Drosophila melanogaster: one gene and its partners. The protein of the gene in region 1 interacts with the protein of each later gene in a pairwise test. Each region holds a gene or a part of one and is shown on either strand. Other genes may lie near its edges. The genes, in order: CG43338, fok, CG13843 and mdlc.

The links.
Region 2: the proteins of CG43338 (region 1) and fok interact in a two-hybrid assay, tested with the Drosophila melanogaster proteins (one large-scale study listed by BioGRID).
Region 3: the proteins of CG43338 (region 1) and CG13843 interact in a two-hybrid assay, tested with the Drosophila melanogaster proteins (one large-scale study listed by BioGRID).
Region 4: the proteins of CG43338 (region 1) and mdlc interact in a two-hybrid assay, tested with the Drosophila melanogaster proteins (one large-scale study listed by BioGRID).

Annotation. Positions count from the first base shown.
Region 1 is NT_033779.5:18,666,340-18,672,928, forward strand, and holds CG43338 (uncharacterized protein), read right to left. Parts: upstream 4,908-6,589; 5' UTR 4,849-4,907; coding exon 4,693-4,848; intron 3,705-4,692; exon of another isoform or gene 3,628-3,704; coding exon of another isoform or gene 3,553-3,627; intron 3,225-3,552; coding exon 3,099-3,224; intron 3,027-3,098; coding exon 2,202-3,026; intron 2,141-2,201; coding exon 1,268-2,140; intron 1,210-1,267; exon of another isoform or gene 1,208-1,209; coding exon 626-1,207; 3' UTR 553-625; downstream 1-552. Other genes in the region: CG43339 (uncharacterized protein), read right to left, coding at 5,443-5,451, 5,553-5,947, 6,001-6,161, 6,221-6,589.
Region 2 is NT_033779.5:20,081,086-20,086,918, forward strand, and holds fok (fledgling of Klp38B), read right to left. Parts: upstream 3,986-5,833; 5' UTR 3,650-3,985; coding exon 3,493-3,649; intron 1,931-3,492; coding exon 1,698-1,930; 3' UTR 521-1,697; downstream 1-520.
Region 3 is NT_033777.3:22,607,646-22,611,280, forward strand, and holds CG13843 (uncharacterized protein), read left to right. Parts: upstream 1-1,839; 5' UTR 1,840-1,892; coding exon 1,893-2,461; intron 2,462-2,509; coding exon 2,510-3,029; 3' UTR 3,030-3,070; downstream 3,071-3,635. Other genes in the region: CG31156 (uncharacterized protein), read right to left, coding at 1,215-1,438, 1,501-1,630, 1,704-1,836, 3,077-3,307, 3,365-3,554, 3,607-3,635.
Region 4 is NT_033777.3:20,055,764-20,059,876, reverse strand, and holds mdlc (midlife crisis), read right to left. Parts: upstream 2,130-4,113; 5' UTR 2,024-2,129; coding exon 1,918-2,023; intron 1,860-1,917; coding exon 1,133-1,859; intron 1,066-1,132; coding exon 825-1,065; 3' UTR 586-824; downstream 1-585. Other genes in the region: CG4390 (uncharacterized protein), read left to right, coding at 182-310, 2,503-3,366.

The DNA of each region.
Region 1 (6,589 bases):
TTCTGTATTGTAGCTGTAATTTTAGTGGCATCTGTGAAGTCCATGGTTTTTGTGAAGATACTGCACAATGAGAGTAATGCGTTGAGAAAACTTTATATGTAAGAATAATAAAGTCTCATTAAAACGCTTTGGTAGAGTACCCCGGCCAGTGTTACCCCATCCATGTTCGAGTGGGTAAAAAGAAGCAATACGATGTTTTTGCCCTACAACCCGGCGAGGAAGTCAGTGATCCAAACACTTGCGGCGTGCAGGTTTGCATGAACTCCGAAGGACTTACTCATGTCTACTAGTAAGATCGATCCAATTTGAAATGATATACCCTAATGCATATGATATCCAAGCTATTTTCCAGCTGTCCTCGCACTTTGCCGAGCAGTGGCTGCCAGGACGATAAGGCCATGGACTTGTTGCTAAAATTTCCGGAATGCTGTTGGACTTGTGCCACCAGTAGGGACTGCGATGAAGACCAGTCCTTTCCTTCTTATCCTTATCCTCCCGAAATACGTGATGATCAACCAGAATAATCAATCTGCCACAAAAAACTTAGATTTTCCGAAATGTAGAAACCATATATTATTCTGAGTTATTTTGAAAAAATACAAATGCAAAGAAAAAGTTTAGTACTCTAGCAGTATTTGCTCTTGAAGTCATAGTCATCCTCCGATCCGGTGGCCAGTAGCTCCTCCTTGCAGCCATGGTGCAGTCGATGCACATCCGTGTCGAAGCACTCATCGTGGAGTCGTTTGTCCCGGCTTTTACTTCGCTGCCGCCTGGAATGCGATGAGTGACCGTGTCCGTGTCCATGTCCGTGGTGATTGTGCACATGGCTGCTGGAACCATGATGATGCTCAGACGGTGGTGAGTGATGGCTGCTGCCTGAATGGATGGTCGCCTTATGGTGGAAGGAAGTTGGCGGAGGACTGAGCTCCCTTGGCGGGCGACAGTGGCTGGATGGCGGTATGGGATCATCGAACCGAGGACACGGATGATCTCCAACTGGCGAAGCTGTCTCATAGCGTTTCGAAAGCATTGTGAACTCCTGATGTGCCGAGCACAGGGCCTGCAGGCGATGCAGAAGATCCGTTTCCGGCAGGTCGCGAAGATGCAGTGTCCTGGCCACCGATGTGCGGAAGGATTGCAAATGCGAAAGCCGCTGATTGGCATCCGAGAGTTGGGAGCTCAAGCGACTGACATCATCGCGCATAGACTAAAAATTTCAAGAAAGATTTAGTATGTGAATTTTTACATAAACTATACTTTTATTTACATTTATTAGCGCCTCATCGCGGCATCTGCGATTCTGATTGGATTCACAGGAGGACTTGAGGCGCTCCTTCAGGGCATTAAGTTGGGAGAGCAGGCGCGTCTTCTCATCCTCCAGATCGCATATCTGTGTGGTCAGCTCATCGATCTTTCTGGCCCTCTCCAACGAGGTGATCTTATACTCCACAGCCTCGGCTAGCTGGGCCTTGACCTCTGCTATCTGAGATCGGGCATCGGCCAGCTGGGCACTCAACTTGTCCACCTGCTTGGCCGCCTTCTTGGCCCGGCAAACCGCCTCATCCCGTTCACCCTGCAACATGCACTTTCCTCGCGCACCGTCCTCTATGATGGCCAGCTTGCGACGCAGTAGCTCCAGGTGGAGATCCCGTCGCTGCACTTGCTCCCTGAGAACTCGAACACGTCGCTGCAGGTTGTAGACACTGCTGCTTTCCTTGAGGGGAATGTCATGACAGGATCTCTCGCGGCGAAGTTTCCCATGACCATGTCCGTGATCACAGCAACCCTTATCCGGACTGTGATGATGATGATGATGATGAGGTGCCTCGTGGTCGCAGTGAGCGGCGAGTCTCTCGGCTCTCTCAAGCAAGTTCTCCGCCATTAGATTGGTATCAGTTCCAAGAGCCGGAGGGGCAGAGCACTCACCCCAGTTCATCGCGAGGGCCAGTCGCTGCAGGAACTCCGATAGACCCATGTGATCCTTTCGAAGAGTATGGATCTCGGCATGGCACTTCTCCAAGCGCTCAGTTAGCTCACATTTCTGAGCCTCGCCAGAACGGAGGCGACATTCGGTGGTCTGTTGGGTTTCCTTAAGCTTCTCATGCTCCGAGTTCAGCTGATCTCGCAGAGAGTGCATTTGCTAGAGGGTATACAAATTGGTTTATTGTTTAAATGAATTATGAATTAATAAGTTCGATTACCGCATGCATGGCCTGGTTCTCCGCCAGAATCTCTCTCAGCTTGTCCTTGATGAGCGTTTCGCACGGTTCGGGAACATTCAAGAGATTGCTCAATCCCCGCAAGAACTGCAGACGATCGCCCTGAGTCCGGTCCAGGTTGTTTTGCAAACGATGGCATCGCGACTCAAAGCCGCGCAGCTCTTCCTTGAGCTTCTCGCCGTTGATTTCCGATTCAGTCAAGCGATCTCTTTGGATCTGAAGATCCCTTTCGTATTGGCGACAGCGTCCTTCCAACTCGTGGTTGTGATTGCCAGCTCCATCAAGTTGGGCCGTGAGCCGCTGCTTCTCAATGTTGGCCAGCGACTTCAAGTTGAGCAGTTCATTTTCGCAGGAGCTGAGCGTGTCGCAGGTGGAACTGACCTTGGCTTTCGTCCTTTGCAGCTCCACCATCACCTCCTCGGCCCGCGAGATGATGCACTCGGGTGTGGCATGGGAATTCTGATTGCCATCGCACACATCCATTCCCAAAGTGATGCTAAGGCGTCGCAGGAGATCGTGCAGCTGAGCCTTGATCTGCTCCTTTTGCGATTCCTCACTGGCCATATGCGTTTCCAGATGCTGTATCTTGCAGATTAGCTCTTTGTTGCGCTCGTCGGAGCTACGCTTCTCCCGCTGCACCGTCTGAATGGTGGAATCACATCGGGCCTGGACAGCCTGCTCCCTGCTCTCCGAGTTTTGCAGACGACTCTGGAGGGATCCGATGAGGGCAGTCTGCCGAGCAGCCTGGGCTCGCAGATTCTCGATATCCGCATCTTTGCTGCACAATGCTGCACGCGCTTCAGCAAGCTAGGATAAGTGTAAGTATATGTATATCCTTTGCATTACTTGATTCTATAATAAATTGATTCTTTTATTTACCTCCCCCGTAAGTCGCTCCTTTTTGTAGGACAACGCAGCCAGTTCACTGCGCAGTGTGGTGGTCAAGTCGAGACCATGATGATGTTCTGTCACAGTGATTCCCGTATTGCTGCAGGATGTGTCCAGCTGGATAATCGCATTTAAATTTGGAGAACACACAAAAGGTTTTGATTTGCGGAGTTATTAATTAATTACATATAAATTTATCTAATTTCCTAGTTTAGAAAACATTTTCAAAAAATGTATACTTTCTACATTCTTGAATATATTGGCTCTATTAAATAAATGTACCATTTTCACATTTTCCTGTTATTAAAGTTATATTTATACAATTTAAGATAAAATGGTTTTGAACCATTCAGACTTTCATTATTTTTTGTAAATTTTAATTGTACTTTTAATTATAATATGTAATTTTTAACTGTGATGGCATTAACATTGTCCCAATGCCCACCAAGTGATGATGATGCGGAGATAATCCACCAGTGTGTCCCAAGTGATGGTGATGCAGATGATTTTCACTGGGCATATTTAGAGCCACGAATATTTAAAGCACTCCAAGAACCAAGTCAACTGTTCCCAGTAAAAGCCGTCGAAGAACTGAACTTTGGTTCGGGAATAACCACTTTCGGAAGCCTAACAACCTCCACCTAACAACTGAGGGGAGTCCGATGCATGGCACCGAGGAATTTACCCCAACATAACATCACACAGTGCTCAAATTTATGCTCCAAGTGAAAACGAGCTCAATGGCAGGAGCAAGGGGCTTTGGATAGGGGGGCAGCCGTGTGGAGCTCGAAAGGTGTAGCCACGATTACACTTACACATGGGGGAAACTTTGCAGTTTGTTTGGATTATTTGGGTCATTCACATGGCGCCAAGTGGCGAAGTATCAAATGCAATATCCACAACGGACTCACGCACGCAAGTGCGGACGCCACAGGGTTTGGGGTTTTGGGTGCTCCGGGGCTAGGTGGATGGATATACGATGGAAATTTTCAACTTGGCCGGAAACGGAAAATGAGGTGTGCAACTTTTGGCCAATTGTCTGCAATTTAGGAAGGAGCAACGGCAAGACAATTGGGAACTGAAATGTGTTGAACATTCGATAAGCTTGGCCGGGTTAATTATGAAGCCAATTCAGGTTGCCTCTTTAATGAAATTGAAATGGGCGAAATGGGAAATGTTTCAAACATTTAAAAGATATTTCATTGAACTTGATTTTGGGCTTGCTCCTTAGGCTTTCACAAGTCCTCAATTCAGTAAATTAGATGCAATGGCTCCATTTTATCCTATTGTGTGTTTATGAATAGCTTTACAATCATTCATATGTATATTTTGATTATGCAGCCCCACCCACATGGCAATACGAACCACTGTATCCCCCAGACCAATCGAGTTTTATGCAAATCCCCCCACAAACATCATTAGTTCCCCTAACAACCGCATACATTTGAAACATAAAAAATAGCGAACAAAAGTCGTTATTCAATTGCGAATTCACATAAATCTATCTTGATATGATGTCTACACGCTTTTATGGCAATTTGGCGCACGATTTTGGCAAAATAGTTAAGCGACAAAAACTACTCACCTGGCAAAATGGAATGGCTGGTTGTGGCAAAGGTGACATTGTGGTCATCCGTGCGGGAATCGTTTTCGGGTCCTGATCAGCACCGAACAAGACCTCGAACACCTGCCAGTCCTCGGGTGTGTTGCCATTGGTCGTGGGTCGCGGATTAAGTGGCATTCCAATGGATTTTATCCGGATGAACTCGATCCGCCTCCGACTGGCGTTGGAAAAATTCTACTCTATGTTTTCTAAGCGTAAATAATACACCCGACCCGACCAGGCAACAAGAAGAGGCAAAGTTATGCGGCAACTTTCAGGTTGCCACGGCGCATAAAATAACTATGCATGAGGCGATACTACACTAGATGGTGAGGGTGTGGTTCCTGGTGGGTAACTACGGTGACTAAAGTGCACATAATTCGATTTTCTAAACTGCAATAGCCGTAGAGTGGTAGGAGGGGCAGTTACCCCGCAGCCGTTTGCCTGTAATTTCATTTGTCTCCGCCAAAAATAATGAATATGGTAAATGTTTGCCCTAACTTGGCGCCCACTCCCCGTCCGATGGAATAACCCCCTTAATGGCCTGATCCTTTGACAGTGACTTTGAAGGCAACAACCCTTTGGGGTTAAGTTCATGCATTTCGGGATTTTGATTATTTTGTTTGGGTTGCCAACATAAATAATAGTTGTCGAATTTTGATGAGCTCCAGCATTTCGCCTGCTTCATTTTGGATTCCTGGCGCTTATACATGGTGATTTCACTTCCGTTGCTTATTTTGCCTAGCGAAATTAAACAATTTATATTAATTTTCAATTACATATCATCTTTAAGATTAACTAATTTGTAAAGGCTTGTAAAGGGAAATATCTATATAGCCCACCTGTTTTTGTTGACGAGCTTTAGTTTGCGTTTCCATCAACTTTTTGATCTCGGCTATTTTTCGAAGGTACATTTCCTCCTGTTCCAAGCAGAGCTTGTGATCGTCCTTGACCTTCTGCAGTGCGAGCCTGGCGATCGTGCACTGCACCTCGGCGCTTTCCAGATCCCGCTCCAGCTTGACCTCCCACTCCCTATTGCGTGTCTTAAGCTTTTCCACTTCCCAGGAGTATATCATCTCCGAGCTGCGCTGCACCGTCATGTCCTGTTCCAGCTTGGTTTTCAGTTCCATTAACTCCTTCCTCAGCAGATCCTCGCGCTTACAGTTAAGCATTAGTCTCTGATCCATACAGCTGTTTACCCACTTGATATGGTAACGCATCTGTATCGGATCAGTCACTATGAAAATGTACAAAAGATACATTAAATTTTTGTAATATTTTACAACTCACAACTACTGCCCTCGAAGAGGTCTACGAGTGCAGTTCGATTGATATCCAGACTGGATACGCTGGATTCCACTGCCAGGCTACTGTTGCTCATTCCCTCCTTGATCCGGCAATTGTCCTTGAGGTCCTTAATCCAAGCACCAACCGTGTTGTACTTGCAATCTCTAAGAATATAAGTGTTTCCAATATAGAATGTTCTTCTTGATGGAAATGGGGCCAATACCGTATTAGTTGTATGCTATTTTCGCAAAGGTCGTCATCCTTTTGAAAGTCCTCTCGCATTTCGTGTAGAATTTGTTCGATCTCTTTCAGATCAGTTCGGAACTTTACGCAGTCGAGATCCTCGGAACTCCGTTCGCGATGGATCACGTCCAGGTACAACTGGTTATGTTCCAGTCGTGCCAGGAAGTGATCCAGCGACCACTTGAACAGATTGTAGGGAATCTCGTCGATCTTTCCGGGCCAAGGACTGGAAAACAGACGCAGTTGCTTCAGCAGGCGAACGGATAGGAACTCGATGGCCGCCTTCTGGCATTTGATATTCAACTCGGTCATCATGGACGAACGCAATTTAATGCTTTCTATGGCCTCC
Region 2 (5,833 bases), 1.4 Mb from region 1:
AGGCACGGATGATCTCATCTACCCGTGCCAAACGTTCGTTGCTCTAATTCAATTCGGCTTAGTTGACTGGGGTTTCATTTGGATCACTTGGGAGCTGGCATCCCTGGACATTCGCTTGCAAGGTGGGATAGTGCATGGTCAAGTTCCAGGTCGGTTTATTGGGGCTCGAGGTGCTTTCGCTTAGTTCCCAGTTTAGTGCCTAAAACCTGACCTTAGCCATCAAGTACTTACTTATCATATTTAACGTTTTCAAGCGGCGGAACATTTTGAGTTCAGACAGACAAAAGACAGATTAACTTCAATTAGTAAACTGGTGCGAGACGGAAAGATTTCCGTAAAGATTTGCATAAGAAATTAAGACTTTTATTTGGAAAATTTAAGTCCAAACTGACCCACCTCAACGTATGTAATTGGAACAGGTGTCTAACTTTTAGAAATCGTAGCAACTATGAATGATATCTCCTTTCTTTTAATCGTAATTTCCTCAAGTAACCCTCAAGATACAAGTACGCATTTTAACTTAAATTTTTCAATCATTTGTCGTTTTATTCGGTTTACATATAATTTAAACTAACCATTAATATATAATATATATGATATATAACATTGTATAAATTGAAAATTTTCTTGGAACCTGCAAGCAAATTTTACACAAATCATTACATTTTGATCAATTACTTAAATGACTAATGCAATTGTTAAATCGTTTTTATAATATTTCCGTCCGTCTTTTTGCACAGCTGAGTCTGAACACCAAAAATTAATAACAATTTCTGTTCTGTAACGACAAGTTGAGTTAACAAAATGTAACCAGGCATAAACTTTTGAACAATTTCAACTTTTACATACATATTTCGATTTGATTTCATTTTGACACTTGCTCGGACTGTGCAACGCTCAGTTGGTATTACAATAAATATAGGGGAATGTCTAATATAGACAAGGATACAATAAAAATCGGGGTCCAAAGTATGTACTACGCATATATCGAGAAAATAACAGTTGCAAAACCTTGATTGATCGTTATAGTTTTCATTATTTCTTTCTTATATGGTAATACCTGTAACTGATCCAATTGGGTCCAAACTAAAGCAACGAAAATAACAAAAATTTCGCTTAAAAATTTTCTACTGCAATTTACTCAGTCTCGTATGCAAAATAGAAAATTCAGTTTTTGCTTCCCTTGTGTTACATATATAATTTTTTTTTTTTTTTTTTGCCTAAGGTCAAAAAATGCGTTGGTCAAGCGGGGCAGGTTTTCGTTACTTGATTTTTTCGTCGTGCGCTATTGTTTGTCGGTAAACAAAGTGCCGTTTGTAGTTGTACATAACTGCGAAGTTGGTGTAAAAACGAAGGGCTAGATAATGAAAAAGGTAGTTGTAAATTGGTATCAAGTGGTTCTGGCTTTTGTAAATGGTAGTGTATTCGCAACGCGGAAATGCTGGGCAACCATTTTAAAAAAAATAGGGGTACAGTTGCCTTAGATTATTGTAGCTGCAGGCTGCTGTCTCGCTCTCTCGCGCAATCTTCGTCTTCGACAGCTTTTTCTCTTTTCTCCTCGGGTTTTCTTTGTTTTTGTTTTTGTTCTTACTCTTTCAGGTTTCCTTTCTTCTGGGTTAGGTTACACATCTGTATACATATATGGCATTTCGCGAATGCTGCGGGCACCGTCCGCAGTAGATTCGTCTCGCTCCCACTCACACCTTGCAGCTTTGCGGGGCGGCAAGGACGGTCGACTGGCTGTGATTGTGGGTGTGCTCCAGCTCATGCTCGTGCTCGTGCATGTCCTCCTCGTCCTCGCAGATGCTGTCATGGTGCTTCCTTTGCTCCCGCTTGCGCATGTAGTTGATGAGCGGCCGCTTCTTGTGCTCCTTGCAGAATGGGCAGTCCTTGCGCATCTGCTTCTCGGACTTTATCTGCTTGCACTTTTCTGCAATGGGAGCAATGTGATAGGTCACCGGTTAGTGAAGGTCGGCACTGAATGTTCACCCTCGTCTGTTGTTTCCCGCATTCGCTTCCACTCTGCCTTTTAGCCTACGTGCCCTTCTGGGCCGTCGAACAGCTGATTTGACTACGTGACGTCGCTGCGTCTACGTTCACGACGTCACGTCGCCACCGATGGCGCCCCTCCCCACGCTCGCACAATTTTTCCCGCTACTCGACGTGTGACCCTGTGACGGAGGCAGCTATATATTTAATATTATCATGCACTGGATTTTAGAAACCTATTTTAAAAAGTTGAATCTATCTAATCTTTGGTTTTAATGAAAACATTGTTGTCTTTCGACGACTGTAACACAACTACTACATTGAGCACAACTGTACTTACAGCTTGTGTGCTTTTGTGACCTGCCTCCGTTAATTAAACCATTGCTTTGATTGCTCAATTGACCGTGTTAAAAGCTAAACGGTTATTATTGATTAAAGCCCAGCCGATCCATGAGGAAAGTCTATTTATAGCCGCCGATAAGCGACCTTGCATAATCTCTAAATGTGTTCCACACTGGGGGAAAAAAGTGCTTTATAAACTGGATATTTACACACATATGCATGCTACCATTCAAATACGAATTGAGTTGTGTATGTACAGACATGTGAATCTAAAGTTTAAAGTAAGCTAGATATTTGCCTTGCATAATTTTTCACTTGTTTTTTTTTTATTTCTCTGCAACCCGATAATGCACTACGCGTATATGTATACTATATGGACGAAAACAGCACGAAGGTTTAACATTTACACACCTCAGTTTCGTTATTGCGCTTCAGTTTTGGCACTCAAACACAATGAAACCCTGCTTTGTTTGTTCTTCCCTATAAAAGAATCCATTGTGCGACCACCTGCTTAACTTTTGAGAGCCGATTCTGGAGGTACAGCCAAGTCTTAGTGCTTGCTTAGTTGTCTGTGTAATTAATAATCGTAAAGTATTCGAGTGCAGAGTGTGTCTTAATGGACTTGAGTAGTGACCTCGATAAGAGCGGGTTTAACCACCTCTGAAATTGCCACAAAAAGTATATCTTTGCCTTTTATGATTTTCCACGAGTGACAAAGTAACGATATACTCTTTTTGTATGCCCATCTGAATTGCGCTTTAACTTTGGAATGCCGGAAATTCGTAAGGAACCTTGTGGGCTTTTAGCCGCTTTGTGTGTGCAATTAAGCGCGAATATCTTTAGCACGTGGATTCAAGCCGTAAATAAAAACAAAATCGAGGGGGTGTGGAACCTACTTGATAAGGTGACTTGCGCCGCGAAACTTTGGACACCCTGTGCTTGTGCGCAAAAATTAAGGCGTGTTCTACACACACACACACGCACACACACACTTATGCACATGGGGCTAAGAAATCAGGCTGGCTATTTATAAATGGTTGCAAAAACAACAAAACAACACACGCAATACACAAAAACAAGTGAGAAACGCGTCTGCTTTCAATCTCGCCCCTTTTTTGCCAGTGCATTCTGAGCGCTATCTGTTTTTTCGCCAAAAATTACCTTGCACTCGACTGTAGCAGTCCTTGACCGCGTGTGAGGAAGTGGTGGACTCCAGGGTACCATAGGGGAACTCCTCGTAGTCGCGGTAGTAGCCGCTGCGCATGGACCCGCCATATGCCATTGTGGTGTCGCTGACGCAGAATCCCCAAACATCCATGTCTGTGCTGTGCGGTGTTTCGTTACTATTTTTGCGAACTGCAGTGCCAATCAACGGGATGTGAATTGTGTTTGTAATGTGGGTGTGTGTTTTTCTTTCTTTCTCTCTTTTTGCGCGCGTTGTGCGAGGTCGTTTCACTTTGTCTCTCGATTGGCTCGGGCGTCCAATGAACCTGGCTTTTAAAATCACTTTGTTTTGTTTTTTTAACAACGCTTTTTGGTGCACTTTTGCGTGGAGGTGACTCGCAGAGGTTTTCCTTCTTTCTTCTTCTTGAGCTGCAAATCTCTCGCCGAAATTCGATGTATTCTGTTGGAGGTCTCTCGTGAAACTGAAAGCCGAACACTAGAATTACTGCATTTTTGTAGCTCTCGTGCGCTGGCGATACTTCGGCTCTTGTTTTGCTGCCCACTTCGGGTCTCCCCTATATTTACTTCTCATGTGCCTACGTGTGAATGTGTGTGGACAGTCGCGGGAAAACGTTTAGGGCACGTGTATATGAATGAATGGACTTTAATTTGTTTTAAATATTCTTTAATGTCTGTAGTACTTGGAATAGGTGTATATACTATGCTGCCCGCACTTGTACTAAAATATTTGTGTGCCTGGTTGTAAACACGTATGTGTGGCATTGTGTTTTGTTGTGTTTTCGCGTCTCGTGCTTTTGTCAGAGTTTCACCTTCCACCCGACCCCTCCCCTTTCGAGTGCCACACACCTCTCGCTTGGGGCACATTGGTTCGCTACTCTCGAAATCACCTCTGCCGTGGAAGCAAGCATTTTCCAAGTGATTCACCCTGTGTTAGTTTGAAAATTTTTAATAAATATTAATTAGCCGGGGCATGAGGAATACTCTTGGAAGTTTTTCTTATTAGCGGCGAATCGCTAATGCCGCGGAGATGACGAAAAAGTAATCATGAGAGTGATCGGACGGATGTTCGACGGCTGATCATCTGGAGGATGGGATGGACATTTGTGTTTTTATAAGCTGCGCTAATCACGGTCTAGACTGCAGGCCGACCATGCCGTGATTTAGCCTTATTTCTGAAACCAAATTTGGTTGCCAAGCGGATTGAACACTTTTGAGAGCCCAAATTGGAGTGTTCTTTTTTTTTATAAACTTTCCATGGTCAAAATGGACTGTATTTCCAGCGTGTGGCATTCTAGGCGTGTAAACCACCAGCTGCACTTTTTCACTACTTTGCCTAGAGGTTTTTGAACATTTGAAAAATTTGTTTAAATCTAGTGTTAATTGGCAGTCTACGTCATTTTAGCCGGTTCCGATCAAGGTTTTGCTGTTTTGGCTCAAAAAGCATACCGCCTATATTAGCGCCTTCCTGCGGTTTATGTTTTGGTGCACGCTCATTTCAGTTACTTTTGAGGAGATCGTGACTGATTTCTAAAGGTGGGAGGACGTAGAGGGCTATATTTAGGAAAAAAGATTTTTTTTAATGTGGTACGCTTTGGTACGTGAATGACTAACAGAGAGTGTCGCCATTAATTGTATTAATTTGCGGTTAACGGACCACGGACCCAGATTCTGACCAGACGACACTGACGGGCCCCTAAGGTCACCTATGGTAGCTGTTTTTCAAGGCATATTTCTGCACTTGCGACCACTGTGCACGCCTACGCCGCTGCTGCTGCGCAGTTTGTGTAATCAACCATCCTCTTTTCGGTGCCCGCTCTTGTTTGGCCCACGGTGCTGACCTGCTTAATCAAACAAGTGTCACTTACGCACACTGCCAAGAATGTGTGCTAACTAGCTAATACGAAGCTTTATTTGAATACATACATATATACATACGTATGCATACACTACACTACAAAAAAAAAAAAACTATCAGATAAAAATGCAACGGATGGCCAATGCATTTGTAATTAGGTAAACAAATATCTTACTAAACGAATATGTAACCAACATTTTGAAAGCACTGCGATGCACCAATTAGTGAGTTTTATTTCTGAGCCTATTTCTTCCGTGTACTTGCATGTGGATGCATTTTGTTTGCACAACAACTTTTCGATTCCCGCACAGCGGTTGCTGATAACGACCATCAGTAGGTGCCTTTGTCACGGTAGCTTTACGCAAACAGTTGGGCGTTGTCTTATCATTTCGTCCCTCCTTATCGCACCGAGTCCACAATCGAAGCACACACTCGAAGGTTTAGATTGTCAATTTTCCATTC
Region 3 (3,635 bases), on another chromosome or scaffold:
GACAATTAGACTACCAATGCGATAATTAACGAGGGAGAATTTTACGTTTAAAGGTCGTTCATCAGAAGACATCGGCATAATCTCGGCAACCAGAGGATTATCTCGAATTCGTGCAGTTGATTTTATATTTACCATGCTACTTATCCAGAATGAGGGTATTCGAGATCGGTTTCACCTGATTTAAAGCTACACAGTCAGATCGATTCGAATTTGAATTATCGTTCATATTTGCTCCGCCAAAGATTCTGCTGGACGGCTGTTTAGGAACGAGAATGAAAACTGCTTATACACATAGACTTATTATTACAAGAGTTGATAAACAATACTTACATCATTACCTATGCTATCATTATAAATGATAAAAATAAATTATTAATTAATGAACAATATCTCTACACAACCACAAGATGGAGAACATCGGCAGTAACAATAACGAAATGAGAATTGAGAAGAGGACAAGCGCATTAGCATTAAGCTTAAGCAATTACTACCATACCGTGTACAACTTGTTTTTGGTCTTTTGCGATACATTATCACATTTAACTGTGTAGGAACAGTTACTCCAATATTATGTACGGATTAATATATTTATTTAAACAACTATCGGTTGATTACGCGACATGTCCATGTAGCTAGAATATGAAATTAAATATCCATTACGGGGTAAAGAGAGATGGAGGAAAAAATAAAATTAAATGCATCATATATTTTTGAATATATTATGATTATGGTATTGTGTAATTATGTAAATGCAGACTATATAACATTGTTTATAATAATTTTTAACAATTCTACTGAAACGGCAATAAATTCGAAAATACAAACTAACTAAAAGTGAAAGCAACTTGCCTGCTGCAAACCAAGCGCCTAAATGTATGCATATTGTATATTTATTTTAACTGGCTTAAGAGGGCATCACTTAGTTTCTAAAGCAATACCCTTTCGATAACAATTCATTTAAGACAACTTGCCAACTTGTGGCGAGAAGGGAAACAAGAAGACGAACGTGGAGACGGTGATTTTTATGTGAACATTTATTACTAACTGATAAGCTTTGATTAAACTTAGGAAAGCCGTTATACTATGCATATACACATATATATAAATATATATATGAACTATATATAGTATATATGAATGCTCGTGTGAGCAACCAAACAATTACGATATGAATCATTAAATACTTCCGAAAGCATTAAATCCCTGCAGTTTGTCTAATCCTCCGCCTTGAACTTAAACGAGGTATCCGTCTCCATCAGCATATTTTCCAAACGTAATTCCAACTGGCGTCGCTTCAGATCCACCTTTACCACCGATGCCACAATGCGATCGCCAACGCTCAGCTGCGAATTATTCATGTTACTGTTGTGTATGAGGCCATTGCGCTCCACTCCAACGTCCACGAAGGCGCCAAACTGGGTTACGTTGGTCACGGCACCTGTGTGTCGGAATAGTTTCAATAAGTACATATATGAAATGACTATCATAGTCTCCACTTGCCAGTGACCACCTCGCCCATGCTAAGATCATCCAGCCTAGTTAGACCTTGTTTGAACAGTGGCCTCTTGTCCAGATCTGCTCGATAATCCTGAAGTAATTCGCGCTGCAGGGCAACCAACAGGAACTCCAACTGAAAGGAAATTTATTTTAAATTATTTGAACATTGCAATAGGCCTGTTTAGTATAGATTGAGTGGCACTTACTCGCTCCATGGGCAGCTTGTGCTGCTTGGCAATGCGATCGAGATTAGGCTGGGATGAGGCAAACTGCTTGATGCTAGCTATAAAGGCAGCCTTGCCCACATCCGACAGCTTTAAGTCACATTCTCCGACAATACTGAAAGCACAAAAAGTATTTGGTTTTAGAGTTAAGTTTTCAAATTTTCCATTATAATGATTGCCAAGCTAAAGCAGGAATATGCGGAGCGCTGGCATTATCCTCCAATTGTGCCGCCAGCCAAGCTTCGATATGTTGCATGTGGAAAGGTAGCATTCTACGGCCACAACGATAAGCCGAAATACAAGCCCTGCTGGCAGCATCCGCTCAATGTGCAGGATCAAACCCGCTTTGGAGTTTGCTGGGAGTATCCGCCGGAGCGGTACAAGCGTCGTCCGCTTCCGCCACCGTGCCGGGGATCGACCATTCCCATCCATTTGCTGAAGCCAACCTTCAAGCATTGTGAGAATATCTACTCCCGCTACGATTTTAAGCTTGAGCAGTGTGTGCACGAGCAAACTCTAGTAGTTGACCAGAAAATGAAGGCCCTGAAGAATGAGCTGGAGCAGGCCAAACCATTTCAGATTGAGAGGGTTAAGGAGATGCGTTACCATGGAGTGCGTTATCGCATTTTAGCCAGCTCGACCGGATGCACTAAGACCTATCCCGAGTACATAAGCCGGATGACCGAAGAGCGGGCCCTTTGCGAGTTTCAGAGAGCCTACAATATCGTCAATCAGTCAAAGTAAGTCTATTAAAAATACACAGCCACTGCTAATTTAAAACTTTTTAGCACCGATTTGAGCAATTTATACCTGGACATGAGTGAGTCGAAAAAGGAGCTAGATCAACGCGTAGCCAGGTTGGACCGGTCTTTAGGAAGTACATTCTTGAAAGAGCTAGATTCGGTGCTGCAAATAATCGAGGACTTAAACACGTATTTCTTTGGCGTGATCGTGAAGCTAAAGACGTGGGCGGAGCTGATGGACCCTATGAAAGAGCACTCTATAGAGGACTATCTGGGGCTTTTGAGTCAGGAGACGGACTTCCGGACTTTTATGAGTGCCGGCATGGAGAACTGCACCTGCAAGCGTTGCGACAAGAAGGATCCCTTGAAGCCGTACCTTCCGTGCTGGTGTCAAATGGAATCTAGCGAGGATGTTACAAATCTTAAGAATTTTGACGACGATTGTCCAAAGAACATAGCTGGCATCACGCAACACGAAAGTGACATTGTGACACCTAGTGACACCTCCTTGTTAGTGAGGGCAGCGGATGAAAAGGCCAGGCTTGCGATGAATCAGGCGGAATAAAGTCTCATTATTATTGGTTAATGAAGTCAATTGAATATTGGACTTACCTTTCCACAACGTTGTAGCTCTCAGGATGCACCCAAGTGCAATCTAATGGATTCTGTAGTTGTCCTCCAACGCTTCGGGGTTCGATGCGCACAAAACCGGCGCACTGGACAAACGATTTCTCACCTATGCTTCGCACGGAGAGCAGATCCTTCCGTGTCTTGAATGGTCCTTTCTGCGTACGATGCTCAATGATCTTTTCCGCTTTCTTTTCCGACAGACCAGCAATGTGCCTATATGGTGGAGAATATTAAAAATATATAACTTATTTGACCCTTAATCACACATACTTGAGTACACTCAGACTGGCTGTGTTGAGATCAACGCCAACATAACTGACACACTCGGACACAACGTCATTCAGCGATGCCGTCAAAATCTTCTCGGGAACATCGTGCTGGTACATACCAACCCCCAGGTGACGGGGCTCTATTTTAACATATTCACTCAATGGATCATTCAAACGACGCGCTATGGACACTATACAAAATATGTTTGTTTGTGTTGCTTTTAATTTGATCTTCGTCCAAACCTGCGCTCCTTTCGTTTGTATCCATTTTG
Region 4 (4,113 bases), on another chromosome or scaffold:
GAAATGAAAGTGCTGACAATTAAATTATGGCTATAAGATTGGGCCAAAATTTTGCCGCTTCAAGAAGGCAGTAGTTTCAGTTGCTTGCCAAGTTTAAATTTGGTCAAAGTTGGCCTTTGATCGTTTCAAACGTCAAGCAATACTCGATCGAAATCACAAAGTTATTGCAGCTCCCTTGGGAATGGGAAGAAATTTCCTTCGTCTGCCCAGTGTGAGTGGTAGAAGCTCATTCGTATATTCCATAGTCGCCTGTTCAAATCTTCCCAAGCGACGGAGCATTGTGCTCAGTTTTGGCCACATTATGACCGAGGTGAGTAAGGCTTTTAGGTCCTGCGGACTAAACATTAATATAAAATCCTCGTTGTGATTAATTTTATAAAATGCTTTTCACGATTAACTTTCCAGTCCCGTCCCTATGTATCAAATTTTAGTATGAATTATAAATAATAATGAATACATACATATATACGTGTTAAAACAACTTACAGATGAACTGCTGTGCATAATTTGTATGTTAACCAATCGTAATAGATCGCCCAAAAATAAGTAAAAATTTTAATAAATACCACAGAACTAGTATTTCTTGGTTGAAAACTTATCAAAATATATTTTTCTAGTTACAAGTAAGAATAGTGATTTATCAGCAATTCTCTTTGGGGCAAAGGGTTTTACAATTTCTTACACGCCACCTATCGGTGGTACAATCCTTACTTTACTTTCTACACTTATGCGGCAAATGTGCTGTAAAATGGATTTTATGTGAAGCATCTAATCAATGTCCCTATTTACTTTCACAACCTGTATAAATGATTTAAAAAAATATTTTAATCACTATCATCCGAAGAAATCTCCTGAGCTTCCTCCCCTGCTTCCGCTTTATCCTCCTTTTTCCCAAATTCCTCCTCCTCATCACTATCTGAGTTTTCCATTGGGTTTGTCTTGAGGCGAGCTATCAGCTCTTTGGCGGGATTGAAAATACCATTTGTTTGCTGGGAACAGATGATGCAGCGCTGTGACTTTTTGTACTGGGCCAAGGCGCACTTTTCACAGAAATAGTGCTTGCACCTGGAAGAAAGATAAATATGTTATTTATTCAGTAAATCCAGTTTAGAAATCGTTATCATCTTCATACTTTGTTACCACGGGATTGACAAAACTCTGTCGGCAGATGTGGCACTTGAAAGGCAGTGTTTCTTCATCGGAGTGAATCTCATACTTGGTATCATCGCCATCGGAGTCTACATCACCCGTTCGCTGATTTTCGTGATCCATTTCCAATTGCCAGCCCGCTTTGTAATCACTGCGATCGTGCAGAAACTTACAGCTGTCGCCAAAGCCGCAATATCCTGTTTCCTTGTAATCCTTGCATATATCCGGCTGATAATCCCACCTGACAGTGGCCCTAAGATGGGCAGGAGCCCTAATTGGGCCACTTCGTACCATTCCGGAGCTGGCATTCCCTGCCGCTGTATCCTGCTTCTTGTAGTACTGCGCATAGTTGTTAATTCCGCGATAGATCTTATCGTCCGCCTTGCCCTCCAGCTCTTCGTTGATTTTCAGAGCTCGCGCATGAATTGCCTGCGCATCGCGATCCAATTCTGTGTCCATTTCGTTAATCGATGTAGCTCCCTGATCTTGGGGTCCACTGGGCAGCGCCTCGCGTTTGGATTTGTACGCAATGCCCAGTTTATCATCGTCGGAGGCTGAGGATGAGCCATCATCACCAACTCCTCCCGCCTGTCTCTTTGCTTTGCTCATTGTCTTGGTGCTCTGGAAGTTGGGATTCGTGCGCTTTCGGCGGTTCTCGGCTCGCACCAGAGCACTGGCTTTGCCTTTGGTCTCTTCATCGCTGCTTTTTGCTGGAATATCAATAATATTTGCCCATTTACTTTGTTGGCGGTAAAATTAAGTTCCTACCAGATTCATCACTGCTGGTTTCCTTTTTGCGACGAATTCCAGCTCCCTTCTTGAGGTTCCGCTTCTTGAAGCCAAAGGACGAGGTGCTAGCCGCTTCTTCCGACATTCTCCGGCTTTTAAATTTATGTACTTATCTAGTAATTCACGTTAACAACAATTAACAATAGCAATTTCGCCAACTGGCGCTTCTTCTTCCCGGCTAGTGATGGTACTTGCGTAACAATCGTTATGGAGTTAGTATTTTTGTATGAAACGGGCACATTAAAATTCAATGTTTACTTATGAGGAATATATTCGTTTGTAATAATTGCAATTTTTACATATTTAATACATCATCAATATGTAATAATTAATAGATTTATATTAATTTAAAGAATTCTAGAAAATATTAACTCCTATGGGATCTACCCTTTTAATCATCGATACCAAGATGTTCTGAAAGCTTCCCACTTTTGGCGCTCTACACGCGGTCACACTGTTTTCTTATCGCTTGTTATTTTTAGATCGTCAAAAAACAAGTGCGTTTTTAAAAATTAATGGATTTCAGTTTTAGCTTACAAATTATTTACTCCGTTTCACCCCCAGAACATGACGCTCGAACAGCTGTCCGCAAATAAGTGCTTCGAGGGCGAGCAACGCGTGTATCGCCATCGCTCGGACACCTTGAAGTGCGACATGACCTTTGGCGTCTTCCTGCCGCCGGCCGCTTTGGAGGGTAAACCGTGTCCGGTGCTGTTCTTCCTCAGCGGACTGACCTGCACGCATGAGAACTTCATCCAGAAGAGCGGATTCCAGCAGCACGCCGCCCGCCACAACCTGATCGTCGTCAATCCGGACACTTCGCCCAGGGGCGTGGAAATTGCCGGCCAAGATGATGCATACGACTTTGGAAGCGGGGCTGGATTCTATGTGGATGCAAAGGAGGAGCCGTGGTCGAAGCACTACAAGATGTACAGCTATGTGACCCAGGAGCTGGTGGATGTGGTCAATGCCAATCTGCCCGTGGTTCCCGGTAAACGCGGTATATTCGGCCACAGTATGGGCGGCCACGGAGCCCTGATCTGCGCGCTTAAGAATCCCGGGCTGTACCAGTCGGTGTCCGCTTTTGCGCCGATTGCCAATCCCACCGAGTGCCCGTGGGGCAAGAAGGCCTTTGCCGGCTATCTGGGCTCCAATCCGGATGACTGGGCCCTGTGGGATGCCACGCATCTGGTGTCGCAGTACGAGAGCACTCCGCAGGAGCTCTTCATCGACCAAGGTGCAGCAGACAACTTCCTGGCCGGCAAGCAGCTGCTGCCGGAGAACCTGCTGGCTGCCGCAGATGGCAATGATCACATCCAGACCATCTTCAAGCAGCGCGAGGGATACGATCACAGCTACTTCTACATCGCCACGTTCGTCGCCGAACACATCGCCTACCATGCCGCCCTGCTCACAGCTTCCGCTTGATGATATTCCGCTTGTACATAATCGTTGGTTTCCACCGAAACCATAATTCAACGTAAATTTGGCAGTAAATAAACCAATTTCGACTGAGCTTCTAAAATGTATTCTTACATTCTTGACTTTAAACTTTGAACTTGGACTTTGAAAAACAAATATTTTTATTCATTCTAGGTGCCAATGTACAGAAGATTATACACAAATGGCGTGTACTTTGTTATTTCGGTTTTAAGTTCAGCAATTTCCTTTCACAAACAAAAACTTAAGTAATGGGTATTCAGCATTCGTCGAATTCCTAAGGACTTTTTCCCGGACTTGTGGTAAGGGTAAAAGCTCGCAACGTAGTAAAAGCTTTCCGGTTGTTGGTCCACGGCATGCTGGAAACTTTCCGCATCCTGGCATCCTGCGTACGATTCATTCATCAGTAGAAAAAACGCCGTCTGATGGAATAGATGTGCTAGTGACAGAGGGAACCGAACCGAACGGAGGTACCAAAAGGCGACATTCTCGACTCGTTTGGCGCCATATTTACTAGGACCAATCGGAGTCGCCAGCTCTGTATTTGCGTGACTGCGTGTGTGCGCGAGATAGTCCTGTTTTTTGGACCCCCCTTTGTTTGTGTAACTTCGCGCGCTTTTGTGTTTTATATACCAACGGGTCGGAAAATCGGGTACCAAAAAAAGGGATTTGAAAAGGCGTGAGATTTGCGGCCAGCTGCTGGACGACTGCCAGCGGACTGAAATCTTAATTAGC